Arabidopsis thaliana: one gene and its partner. The protein of the gene in region 1 interacts with the protein of each later gene in a pairwise test. Each region holds a gene or a part of one and is shown on either strand. Other genes may lie near its edges.

Region 1 (5,924 bases):
TCTATCCGAAGAAACTTGTGTTTGCTTCTTAGGCCATCTTCAACGGTAAAATTAGGTGGATTATCTTAAAATATTGTTTTTTAATTATTATCATATAATATTATTATTTACTTAAATAATTATTCTGAAAATAATAATTTAACCTATTAAAATGTAACCTATTATTTACTTTTCTCTCTCTCCTACTTTATTATTATTTTATATTTTTTAGTTAGTGAAAAACCATACTAGAGACTACTGATGGAGATGTTCTTATCTTTTCTGTCTATTTTTGACTTTCATGATTCGCTTTTAGTTTCTTTTCTTCGGCTTCGCTTTTGGGTTTTCTATTTTAGCTTTTTTCTTTTTGCTTATAAGAAAAAAAAAAAAACTAATTATGTACTTATTGTAGTTTAATTATAGTAATATTCTTTTGATTTTTTTTCTTTTTTTTCCTACTAAACAGTTAAAGATTCACGTACTACTTATCAAATTCAGTTCAGACAGTCGGACAATATCAATAGGTGCACCTAAATTTCATTCCAAGTTTTACCCTACCACAAAAAAAAAAAATCATTCCAAGATACAGGCCTAAATACGTGTACAGAATGTTAAATCACCAGGCCCAATTATGGCCCATATTCAAATATCAATAGCACCTAAATTTCTAGTTTCTACGTCCCTTCTTCATTTTTTCCTTGGGTCAACTAAAATTCAAAAGTCCTATTTTCTAAAATAAGCTAATATAGAAGCAAAACAAAGGAATTGGGTTATTTTAAGTCCAGATTTTTCAGACAAGTCACCGGTGAGCGGTGGCTGCGTATCAGAAACCTTGCCGTGAGCATTGCTAAATAATAAACATAGATAGGGGAATAAGCTCCAAAATAAGCTCCCTTGTATCCTACCATTGTGTTACAATTTAGCATTACGCCGAGTTGCCAATACTGTCTTAATTTTCCCTTTGATCCCCATATATGAGACACCTCTGATCTGTTCTTCACCGCATTTTTATGATTGACGGTTTTGCTGATGGTTAGTACATTAGAACTTATTAGATACCAGAGAATGCAAATACATTGTATAATCCCCATGTGGCCACGTTCCGTTTATGAGGAGTAATATTTTATACAACTATCACATTCTTCTTTACCCAAAAAAAACGAAAAAAAAAACTACCCAATCTTATAGCGAAGATGTGTGAGATCCAATGATGAAGCAATTAAATTATTGCTAGTGAATTCATGTCATTATGCGAACACGTACTACTTGAGAAAAGTACACCATATAGTTTTCTTGTGATGGACGGTGAGGATTCAGCTTGGGAAACGATGTCGTAACGTTTGGATGCAGAACGTCGGGCGCACGATTTGGATATCTCTTTTTTTTTTTTGTCTCCCCTATCCTCAAGTCAGGGATTTTATTACAACTTTGAATATTTATTTCCTTTTTTTATGTCGGCCTTCTTAAAACTTTTCAAGATTTTCAATTAGTCACTAAACTTTCCATTTTATCTTTTTCACTCTATTATATAATTTTAGATGTAACGTAAAATATTACTATTAGGATGTGAGATAACATAATCCAACCACAATTATATCGTTATCTAGTAACATTAACTATATATTATAAGTTATAAATTGAAAGGAATCTCTTGAGAGTAACTATTTAGGGCCTAATTGTGAAACTAAAAACGTGTAGGGCTGAAACTAATAACAATTCGTACGTTGGGTCACTATTAAATCATCAAAGATCTGTAGAAAATAATGAAAAAGTGGCCCCACACGCTCCAATTAAATTACAGCAGCTCCACAAAGTAGCTCTTAAAGAGCTTCCATCACGGACCAGATCCCGAATTCTTCTTCTGACCACCGAACGATTGAGTTTCTCCGATCAGATCTCAGTTTCTGGGAATAATTCGAAGTTAGTATTTCTCTACTTCATCTCTATGAATCTCATTCATTTTATCTTTATGTTTCTCTTTACTTGTTTTGCGATTAAAACTCGTTTGATCATTTAGGTGGTTCTTTGTTTTGTGAGATAAGTGGAACTCGCTGACTTTTTTTTTTTTCTTTTTGGATAATCAACGATCGGGTTCATTTGCTATTGTCCTCTAGTGTTACACTGATACGATCTTTAGTTTTGAGTTAGATCAGTGACTTTAGTTTCACTATTCAACTAGTGTTCCTTGTTTTTAGGACAATACTGCGAAAATTTAGCTGCTCTAAAATTTTGATACCAGATCTTTGAGATTCGTAGATCTCGCTTTTCTTTTTTTTTAGTTTTTTCAGAAACTAATATTGTGTTCTGGTCAATTCTTATTGCTAAAGGTGAAAAAATGGCGCAGCATCTGTTGCACGGGACTTTACATGCTACCATCTATGAAGTTGATGCCCTCCATGGTGGTGGTGTTAGGCAAGGCTTCCTTGGCAAGGTATAATAAGATCCATTGTTATTGCATCATTTTTGCGCCAATCCTGACGTCTTATTTTGTAGTTCAAATTAGTCTGTGGACTAATACACAGTTTGATCTTTATTTTTCTGATGAAACTTTCAGATTCTGGCAAATGTAGAAGAGACGATTGGTGTTGGTAAAGGAGAAACACAGTTGTATGCGACGATTGATCTGCAAAAAGCTAGAGTTGGGAGAACCAGGAAGATCAAAAATGAACCTAAGAACCCAAAGTGGTATGAGTCGTTTCATATTTACTGTGCTCACTTGGCTTCTGATATCATCTTCACTGTTAAAGATGATAATCCCATTGGAGCTACCCTTATCGGAAGAGCTTACATTCCTGTTGATCAAGTCATTAACGGCGAGGAAGTGGATCAGTGGGTTGAGATCTTGGATAATGACAGAAACCCTATTCAGGGAGGATCAAAGATTCATGTCAAGCTTCAATATTTCCATGTTGAGGAGGATCGTAACTGGAACATGGGTATCAAAAGTGCCAAGTTCCCTGGAGTGCCATACACATTCTTCTCGCAGAGACAAGGCTGCAAAGTTTCTCTGTACCAAGATGCTCATATTCCAGACAACTTTGTCCCTAGAATTCCTCTCGCTGGAGGGAAGAACTATGAGCCTCAAAGATGTTGGGAGGATATTTTTGATGCTATTAGCAATGCAAAACACTTGATCTACATTACTGGTTGGTCTGTTTACGCTGAGATTGCTTTAGTGAGGGACTCGAGGAGGCCTAAGCCTGGAGGTGATGTGACCATTGGTGAGCTACTCAAGAAGAAGGCTAGTGAAGGTGTCAGGGTTCTTTTGCTTGTTTGGGATGACAGAACTTCTGTTGATGTGCTGAAGAAAGATGGGCTCATGGCTACTCATGATGAAGAGACCGAGAATTTCTTCAGGGGAAGTGATGTCCATTGTATTCTGTGCCCTCGTAACCCGGATGACGGTGGTAGCATAGTCCAAAGTTTGCAGATCTCTACTATGTTCACGCATCATCAGAAAATCGTTGTTGTGGACAGCGAGATGCCAAGCAGAGGAGGATCAGAAATGAGGAGAATTGTGAGTTTTGTTGGCGGTATTGATCTTTGTGATGGAAGATACGACACTCCGTTCCACTCCTTGTTCAGGACATTGGACACAGTCCACCATGATGACTTCCATCAACCTAACTTCACTGGTGCTGCTATCACTAAAGGTGGTCCAAGGGAGCCTTGGCATGACATTCACTCCCGTCTTGAAGGTCCAATTGCTTGGGATGTCATGTACAACTTCGAGCAGAGATGGAGCAAGCAGGGTGGTAAAGACATTCTGGTTAAGTTGAGAGATCTTAGTGATATTATTATCACCCCTTCTCCTGTTATGTTCCAAGAGGACCACGATGTGTGGAATGTCCAATTGTTTAGGTCCATTGATGGAGGAGCTGCTGCTGGGTTTCCCGAGTCGCCTGAAGCTGCTGCGGAAGCCGGGCTTGTAAGTGGGAAAGATAACATCATTGATAGGAGTATCCAAGATGCTTACATTCATGCAATCAGACGTGCTAAGGATTTCATCTACGTTGAAAACCAGTACTTCCTTGGGAGTTCTTTTGCTTGGGCAGCCGATGGTATTACTCCTGAGGACATCAATGCCCTGCACTTAATCCCAAAAGAGTTGTCGCTGAAGATAGTTAGCAAGATTGAGAAAGGAGAGAAGTTCAGGGTCTATGTTGTGGTTCCAATGTGGCCAGAAGGTCTCCCAGAGAGTGGATCAGTGCAAGCTATATTAGACTGGCAGAGGAGGACCATGGAGATGATGTACAAGGATGTGATTCAGGCTCTCAGGGCCCAGGGTCTTGAGGAAGATCCAAGAAACTATCTGACATTCTTCTGTCTTGGAAACCGTGAGGTCAAGAAAGATGGAGAGTATGAGCCTGCTGAGAAACCAGACCCCGACACTGATTACATGAGGGCGCAAGAAGCACGCCGTTTCATGATTTACGTCCACACCAAAATGATGATCGGTAAGTTCACATTTCAACGGAAAAAAACTTGAGAAGTATACATAAATGTTGTGCCTGATTCATTTGATGAAATCCATTTTGCAGTTGACGATGAATACATTATCATTGGGTCTGCTAACATCAACCAGAGGTCAATGGACGGTGCAAGAGACTCTGAGATAGCAATGGGAGGTTATCAACCACATCACTTGTCCCATAGACAACCAGCTCGTGGCCAGATCCATGGGTTTCGTATGTCACTCTGGTACGAACACCTGGGAATGCTCGATGAAACCTTCCTCGATCCATCAAGCTTGGAATGCATTGAGAAAGTTAACCGCATTTCTGACAAGTATTGGGACTTTTACTCAAGTGAGTCACTCGAACATGACCTTCCTGGTCACTTGCTCCGCTACCCGATCGGTGTAGCCAGCGAAGGCGACATCACTGAGCTTCCAGGATTTGAATTCTTCCCGGACACAAAGGCCCGTATCCTCGGCACCAAATCAGACTACCTGCCTCCAATCCTTACAACCTAATCTCACTAAGCATGTCAAGTAATGATCTCTCTCTCCCTCTCTGCTTTGCTGCTGTTGTAGCTTTGAATAAAACTTGAGTGTCTACCTTTAGAATTAAGAAGTCAAATGGTTGTTATGATGATGCACTTCTTTACCCCTTTGGTTTTTATATTCGTACAATGACGTGGTGAGAGAATGTAGCTTTGTGATCTTGTTTTGTTGTTGTTATGTACCTTTGGACTTATGAATCTTATATCTGATCCTTTTCTTTTTATTTAGTGTGTTTCACATCAAAGTTTAAACAAAAATAGCAATGAACTAGGTAAAACATACTTCATTAGAAAAGTGAAAGTGACAATCTAGAGATAAAGCATGAAACTAGGGTTCATATAGCACAAAACTAATACAAAAGGGGTTTTAAAGTTTTAAGCCGGAAACAGGGCACGACACACCGGACAAATCCCACTGTTCCTAAGCCATTCCTCTCCACAAGTACGATGAAACACATGCGAACACGGCATTCGACCCGCTTCCACATCTGACCCAACTCGGATATTATCCATGCATATCACACAATAGCCTTCATTCTCAACAACAAGCGTCTCCAAGTGCATCTCCACCGCCTCATCGTTCGCTGGAGCAACCGCAAGTTGCACTTGCACATCTACGTGATCATCTTCACCGGGAAACCTCGAGACAGTAACACCTATCTTTACTTGTACCCTCTCCACGTCTTTCGCACCATCTTTCTTCAAATCCTTAATCTCATCAGCAAGAGTGTTAACAATAGCAGAATAAGGAGGGACTTGGAGCGAATCTAGAATGTGATAGACGATGGCTAGTGAATGATCACCGTCTCCACCAAACAACCAATCTCGATCAAACTCGTGTGTTTGCTCAAGGGTTAGAGTTTGAAGATTGTCAAAATCGGGAAAATCTTCTTCTTCTTCAACGTCATCATCTTCTTCTTCGGCACGAGTGTAATGCACTT
Region 2 (5,168 bases), on another chromosome or scaffold:
GGTTAGCTGCGGCTGACCAGCTGAACAAAATGGGCCATTTAGTAACCGTGTATGAGCGCTCGGACAGAATTGGTGGGCTGATGATGTATGGAGTACCAAACATGAAGACTGACAAAATTGACGTCGTTCAACGGCGGGTTGATCTTATGACCAAAGAAGGTATCAACTTTGTGGTCAATGCCAATATTGGAAAGGACCCATCTTACTCCCTTGATGGACTTAAGGAAGAGAATGATGCAATCGTTCTTGCTGTTGGTTCCACAAAACCAAGGTAATATTTTGTTTCAAACAATGCTGAATTCCTATTTATGTTACCAGACGTTCAAATGGATTATGGTGAACTAACCGAGACATTATTGGGGTAATTTTGCAGAGATCTTCCAGTGCCTGGTCGTGATCTATCTGGTGTTCACTTTGCCATGGAGTTTCTTCATGCAAACACCAAAAGTTTACTTGACAGCAATCATGAGGATGGCAATTACATTTCTGCAAAAGGGAAAAAGGTTGTTGTTATTGGTGGAGGTGATACCGGCACAGATTGCATCGGAACATCTATCCGCCATGGATGTACCAACATTGTAAACCTAGAACTTCTTCCTCAGCCACCCTCAACAAGAGCTCCTGGAAACCCTTGGCCACAGGTTTGTTTCAGATCTTCTACACTCAATCCTTTTAGCAACTTCTTCAAGATTTTTGCATCCATTGGATTAAAAAGAGTTGTGAGCAAGGTTGGATATTGTTGATTTTAATGAGCTTCCGTGTGAATACAGTGGCCTCGTGTATTCCGTATTGACTACGGACATCAAGAAGCTACCACCAAATTCGGAAAAGACCCTAGGACCTATGAGGTCTTAACGAAGAGGTTCATAGGAGATGACAATGGAAACGTGAAGGGGCTTGAACTTGTGCGTGTGAGTTGGGAGAAGGATGAAACCGGGAGGTTCCAGTTCAAGGAGATCGAAGGCTCTGAGGAAATCATTGAAGCAGACCTCGTTTTCTTGGCCATGGGTTTCCTTGGACCTGAGCCAGTAAGTGATTCCCGTTGTGTACCCTCTTCTTATATATTGTGGGTCTTGTGGCAATGATTTAAAACCAATTGCTTGTTTTTGTTTTTACAGACACTTGCTGAGAAGCTAGGTCTCGAATGTGACAACAGGTCAAACTTTAAGGCCGAGTATGGCCGGTTTTCCACAACCGTGGAAGGTGTTTTCGCAGCAGGTGATTGTCGGAGAGGCCAGTCTTTGGTTGTCTGGGCTATCTCAGAAGGACGTCAAGCTGCAGATCAGGTAGACAAATTCCTCACCAAAACGGATGATGACGAAGACGCCAAGCTACAACAAGACCTTAACCAGATGAAACACAACACTATCACAAACTGAGGTAAAAGAAAGCCTTACTCATCTGAAGCAAAAGTCGAGAGAGAAAGACAACTGATGTTACTCTTTTAGAGGACACACAGGCGTAAAGGACCGACTTATGGCAGAGATGAAGGAAGAGAGTTGCAGAGGAAAAGTACCGAACTTGATGATTTAGTAGAGAGAAGTAAAAGTTTAGGTTTGTTTTTGTTTATTATCGTCCATAAAGTAATAATGATTCATAAGTACATTCTCTTTGTAGGATTTCAGTAGCTTTCTTTTGTTAAAGCTTTCTGAAATTGAAAGCCTTTTGTTTTTTCTCTATGGCTGTTTCTAAGTTTGAATTTTAAGGAATTGTAATGCAGTTCCTGCTTCTTGTTTTTGCCCTCTTTGTGTTCTTTCATATTATTTATGGTGGTGTAAACTGTAAACAATGTTAGGAATCATAAGACTTGCTCAGTAAAATAGTGAAAAAAATGATCTTCAATTACACAGTGAAGATTGAGGTATGTAAAACCGGTATGTAGTTTGTCTCCAACAAATTTCTTCATTTTTTCTCGGTCCCAACCAGTTGGTAGATGAAAAGCGGTCCAATTAACAAACGGATTCGTCAGTTGTCTCTCGTCGCAACCATTCAATCCTACGTGTAATTCCTCAGTTGTCTCTGGTCTTCAACAAAAGACAAGCCCACAAAGAGAAAACAAAAAAAAAGTAAAGAAAAAGAAAATTGTGAAGCGGTGAAAACAAGAGTTCCAAAAAGGTGGCTCCTTTTTGTTTCTGGAGATGCGTTATTGTGACCCTTCTTTGAAATTTAGGGTTCATTTTCTCAGATTTCGAGTTCGTTGTGTTTGAATCTCTATTGGGTTTACTTTCTTATTCGATTTGGGGGAAATGGCTGATTGGTATCAGCTTGCACAGTCTATAATCTTTGGTTTGATCTTCGCTTACCTTCTCGCTAAGCTAATCTCTATCCTCCTCGCTTTTAAAGACGAGAATCTCTCACTCACTCGTAACCACACGACTCAATCGGAGTATGAGAACTTGCGAAAGGTCGAAACTTTAACTGGGATTAGCGGCGAGACTGATTCTCTTATAGCTGAGCAAGGTAGCTTGAGAGGTGATGAAGATGAATCAGATGATGATGATTGGGAAGGTGTCGAAAGTACAGAACTTGATGAGGCATTTAGTGCTGCTACGGCTTTTGTTGCTGCTGCTGCATCGGATAGGCTTTCGCAGAAAGTTTCTAATGAGTTGCAACTTCAGCTTTATGGATTGTATAAAATTGCTACTGAAGGACCTTGTACTGCTCCTCAACCATCAGCTCTTAAAATGACTGCTCGTGCCAAGTGGTTTGTCTAACACTCTTATTGATTCTCTGATTCAAATGTTTGGGACTGTGAAAGATGATTGCTTGATCATGTTTACTTGTGATGTACTGATGTTTCTTGATCATGGATGTATATTATTTTGATTTCACCAAGTTCGTATCTTTCATTGCTAATGTATGGAAAGGATTGCTTTTGTTGGTGTATTGATTAGTGATCTGATTCAAATCTTATGACTGTGAAGATTGTTACTTAATCATGTTTACTTGTGATGTACTGATTATTCTTCATCCTGGATGTATCTTGCTTTGTGTGAGTACCGAAAGGATTTGCTTTTGTTGTTTTGTTGATTGGTAACTTAGGGATGCATTTTGATCGACTGAGATTTGTTATGATCTTTTTTGTTCTAGGCAAGCATGGCAGAAATTGGGTGCTATGCCTCCTGAGGAAGCGATGGAGAAGTATATCGACCTTGTTACTCAGCTTTACCCAGCTTGGGTTGAAGGTGGCTCGGTTAGTTGTCTTCTTACCTGCTTCTGTTATTCCCATTTCTTTGGACTGTTTATGGATGGTCTGTTTTCGTTCTTAAATCTGTCTTTATTTCTTGGCTTGTTTGCTTCGTTGCGGACTATTAGAAACGAAGAAATCGGAGTGGTGAGGCTGCAGGCCCCATGGGACCGGTTTTTAGCTCATTGGTGTACGAAGAGGAATCTGACAATGAGTTGTAAGGTTCCTAAGCAATTAGTTACAGATTCATCTATGAACTTTTGGTTTTCTTTTCTCAGTTTCTCTATATGACTAGCTGACTAGATCAGAGAAGGAATGTATATATCATAATACTCACCTTAGGTAGATCAAAGAATCATGTGTTAGTTTAAATCATAGTAGAAGCTCTGTTCATTCTTGCGTTCTTACTCCATGTTCCAGGAAGATTGACGCCATACACGCCTTTGCTAGAGAAGGAGAAGTCGAGAATCTATTGAAATGCATAGAAAATGGCATACCCGTAAATGCAAGAGGTTAGTAGTCTTGTATCATTTTCACAGAATGTTCGGATCTGGTTTGGAAACTTAACAGTTTCTCCATCTTGGAAATGTCAGATAGTGAAGGTCGAACACCACTGCATTGGGCTATAGACCGTGGCCATCTTAACGTTGCTGAAGCTCTGGTTGATAAGAACGCAGATGTGAATGCTAAAGTAAATAAATAACCAAAACCCCCTAAACTAATTCTTTCTCTCAATTACAGACTTTTATGTTTTTGTCGCTGACAAACTTTGTGCAGGACAATGAAGGCCAAACCTCTCTACACTATGCTGTTGTGTGCGAAAGAGAAGCACTCGCCGAGTTTCTGGTGAAGCAGAAAGCTGATACAACCATTAAAGACGAAGACGGAAACTCGCCTCTTGATCTCTGTGAATCAGAATGGTCTTGGATGCGAGAGAAGAAGGATTCCAATTAGTGTTTTTTAAGTCTTTAAAATTGTGTGTCAAAGCTAGATGCTTGTGTTTTTCTTACATTTCCTCTGAGCCTCTTTGCTTCCTCTTAAGCTTATGTTTTAACATACAACAACACAAGTTACATATGATATAGTAGCTCTAGTTTTTATTGGTTACTATATTGAACCCAGAGAGATCATCATCATCAATCATCATAACTCAATAATAGTTTTTTTTTTGTTAGTATAATGTTTCTCTCTTTCGTTCGTGACCCTTTCATGTTTTTTCAGCCATCTGAATCATTATTATCATACCTGTAAAACAATTTTGTTGATTACTTGTAAAATTTATAAGTATTTTAAATATGATACAAATTGTACCTTCGGAATAAGAAAAGAAAAAAAATCTTCTTCTTCGCATCTCGCTGTAAAACAATCCGGACCGTTGATTAATTAACGATGAGAATATATAAGGTGGGGTTCAGATAAGGACCACCCAACACGCGATGTACGACATAATCACTCCAGATTATATCAATTCTTTAATCAGAAATATATTTTTAGTGTGCAAAAATCATAAAGAAAAATATTTTCCCTTTTTATATATATATTGGGTAATTCAGATTTTTTTCTATTTATGTTTTTATTTGAAAAAAATAAGATACACTGAACAAACAATTATGATTGGAAACAAATTTTCATATTTAGAAGATTTATACAACTTTTTTTTAATTGGGTAATTTTAAAAGATATTTTCCTATATATAGTTTTTATAAAAATATTAGGATACACTGAACAAAACCTAAATATACAATTGAGTACAAATATATATAAGTTTGGAAAACAATTTCAAAATTAATAGATTTACATAATTTGTGTTCAAAACAGTTTTTTTATTTGTTTATATAAATATTTGGTTAAAAGTTTAATAATAAAATTTAAAGTCCATCTTCACATCCGATTCTTCTCTTCTCTTCTCTCTCTCTCTTCCCTTTTTCGCTGGAACTGATTTTTTTCTTCTCTCTCTCTCTCTCTCTTCCTTCTGGGCTTC

What was found.
Region 2: the proteins of PLDALPHA1 (region 1) and ACBP1 interact in a two-hybrid assay, tested with the Arabidopsis thaliana proteins (one study listed by BioGRID).

Annotation. Positions count from the first base shown.
Region 1 is NC_003074.8:5,328,521-5,334,444, forward strand, and holds PLDALPHA1 (phospholipase D alpha 1), read left to right. Parts: upstream 1-1,673; 5' UTR 1,674-1,899; intron 1,900-2,306; 5' UTR 2,307-2,314; coding exon 2,315-2,410; intron 2,411-2,533; coding exon 2,534-4,436; intron 4,437-4,520; coding exon 4,521-4,954; 3' UTR 4,955-5,225; downstream 5,226-5,924. Other genes in the region: AT3G15740 (RING/U-box superfamily protein), read right to left, coding at 5,359-5,924. UniProt on the Arabidopsis thaliana protein: Hydrolyzes glycerol-phospholipids at the terminal phosphodiesteric bond to generate phosphatidic acids (PA).
Region 2 is NC_003076.8:21,708,251-21,713,418, forward strand, and holds ACBP1 (acyl-CoA binding protein 1), read left to right. Parts: upstream 1-1,919; 5' UTR 1,920-2,246; coding exon 2,247-2,704; intron 2,705-3,090; coding exon 3,091-3,193; intron 3,194-3,315; coding exon 3,316-3,404; intron 3,405-3,607; coding exon 3,608-3,699; intron 3,700-3,780; coding exon 3,781-3,878; intron 3,879-3,964; coding exon 3,965-4,141; 3' UTR 4,142-4,364; downstream 4,365-5,168. Other genes in the region: GLT1 (NADH-dependent glutamate synthase 1), read left to right, coding at 1-271, 374-641, 771-1,028, 1,119-1,379. UniProt on the Arabidopsis thaliana protein: Binds medium- and long-chain acyl-CoA esters with very high affinity. Can interact in vitro with arachidonyl-CoA, barely with oleoyl-CoA, but not with palmitoyl-CoA.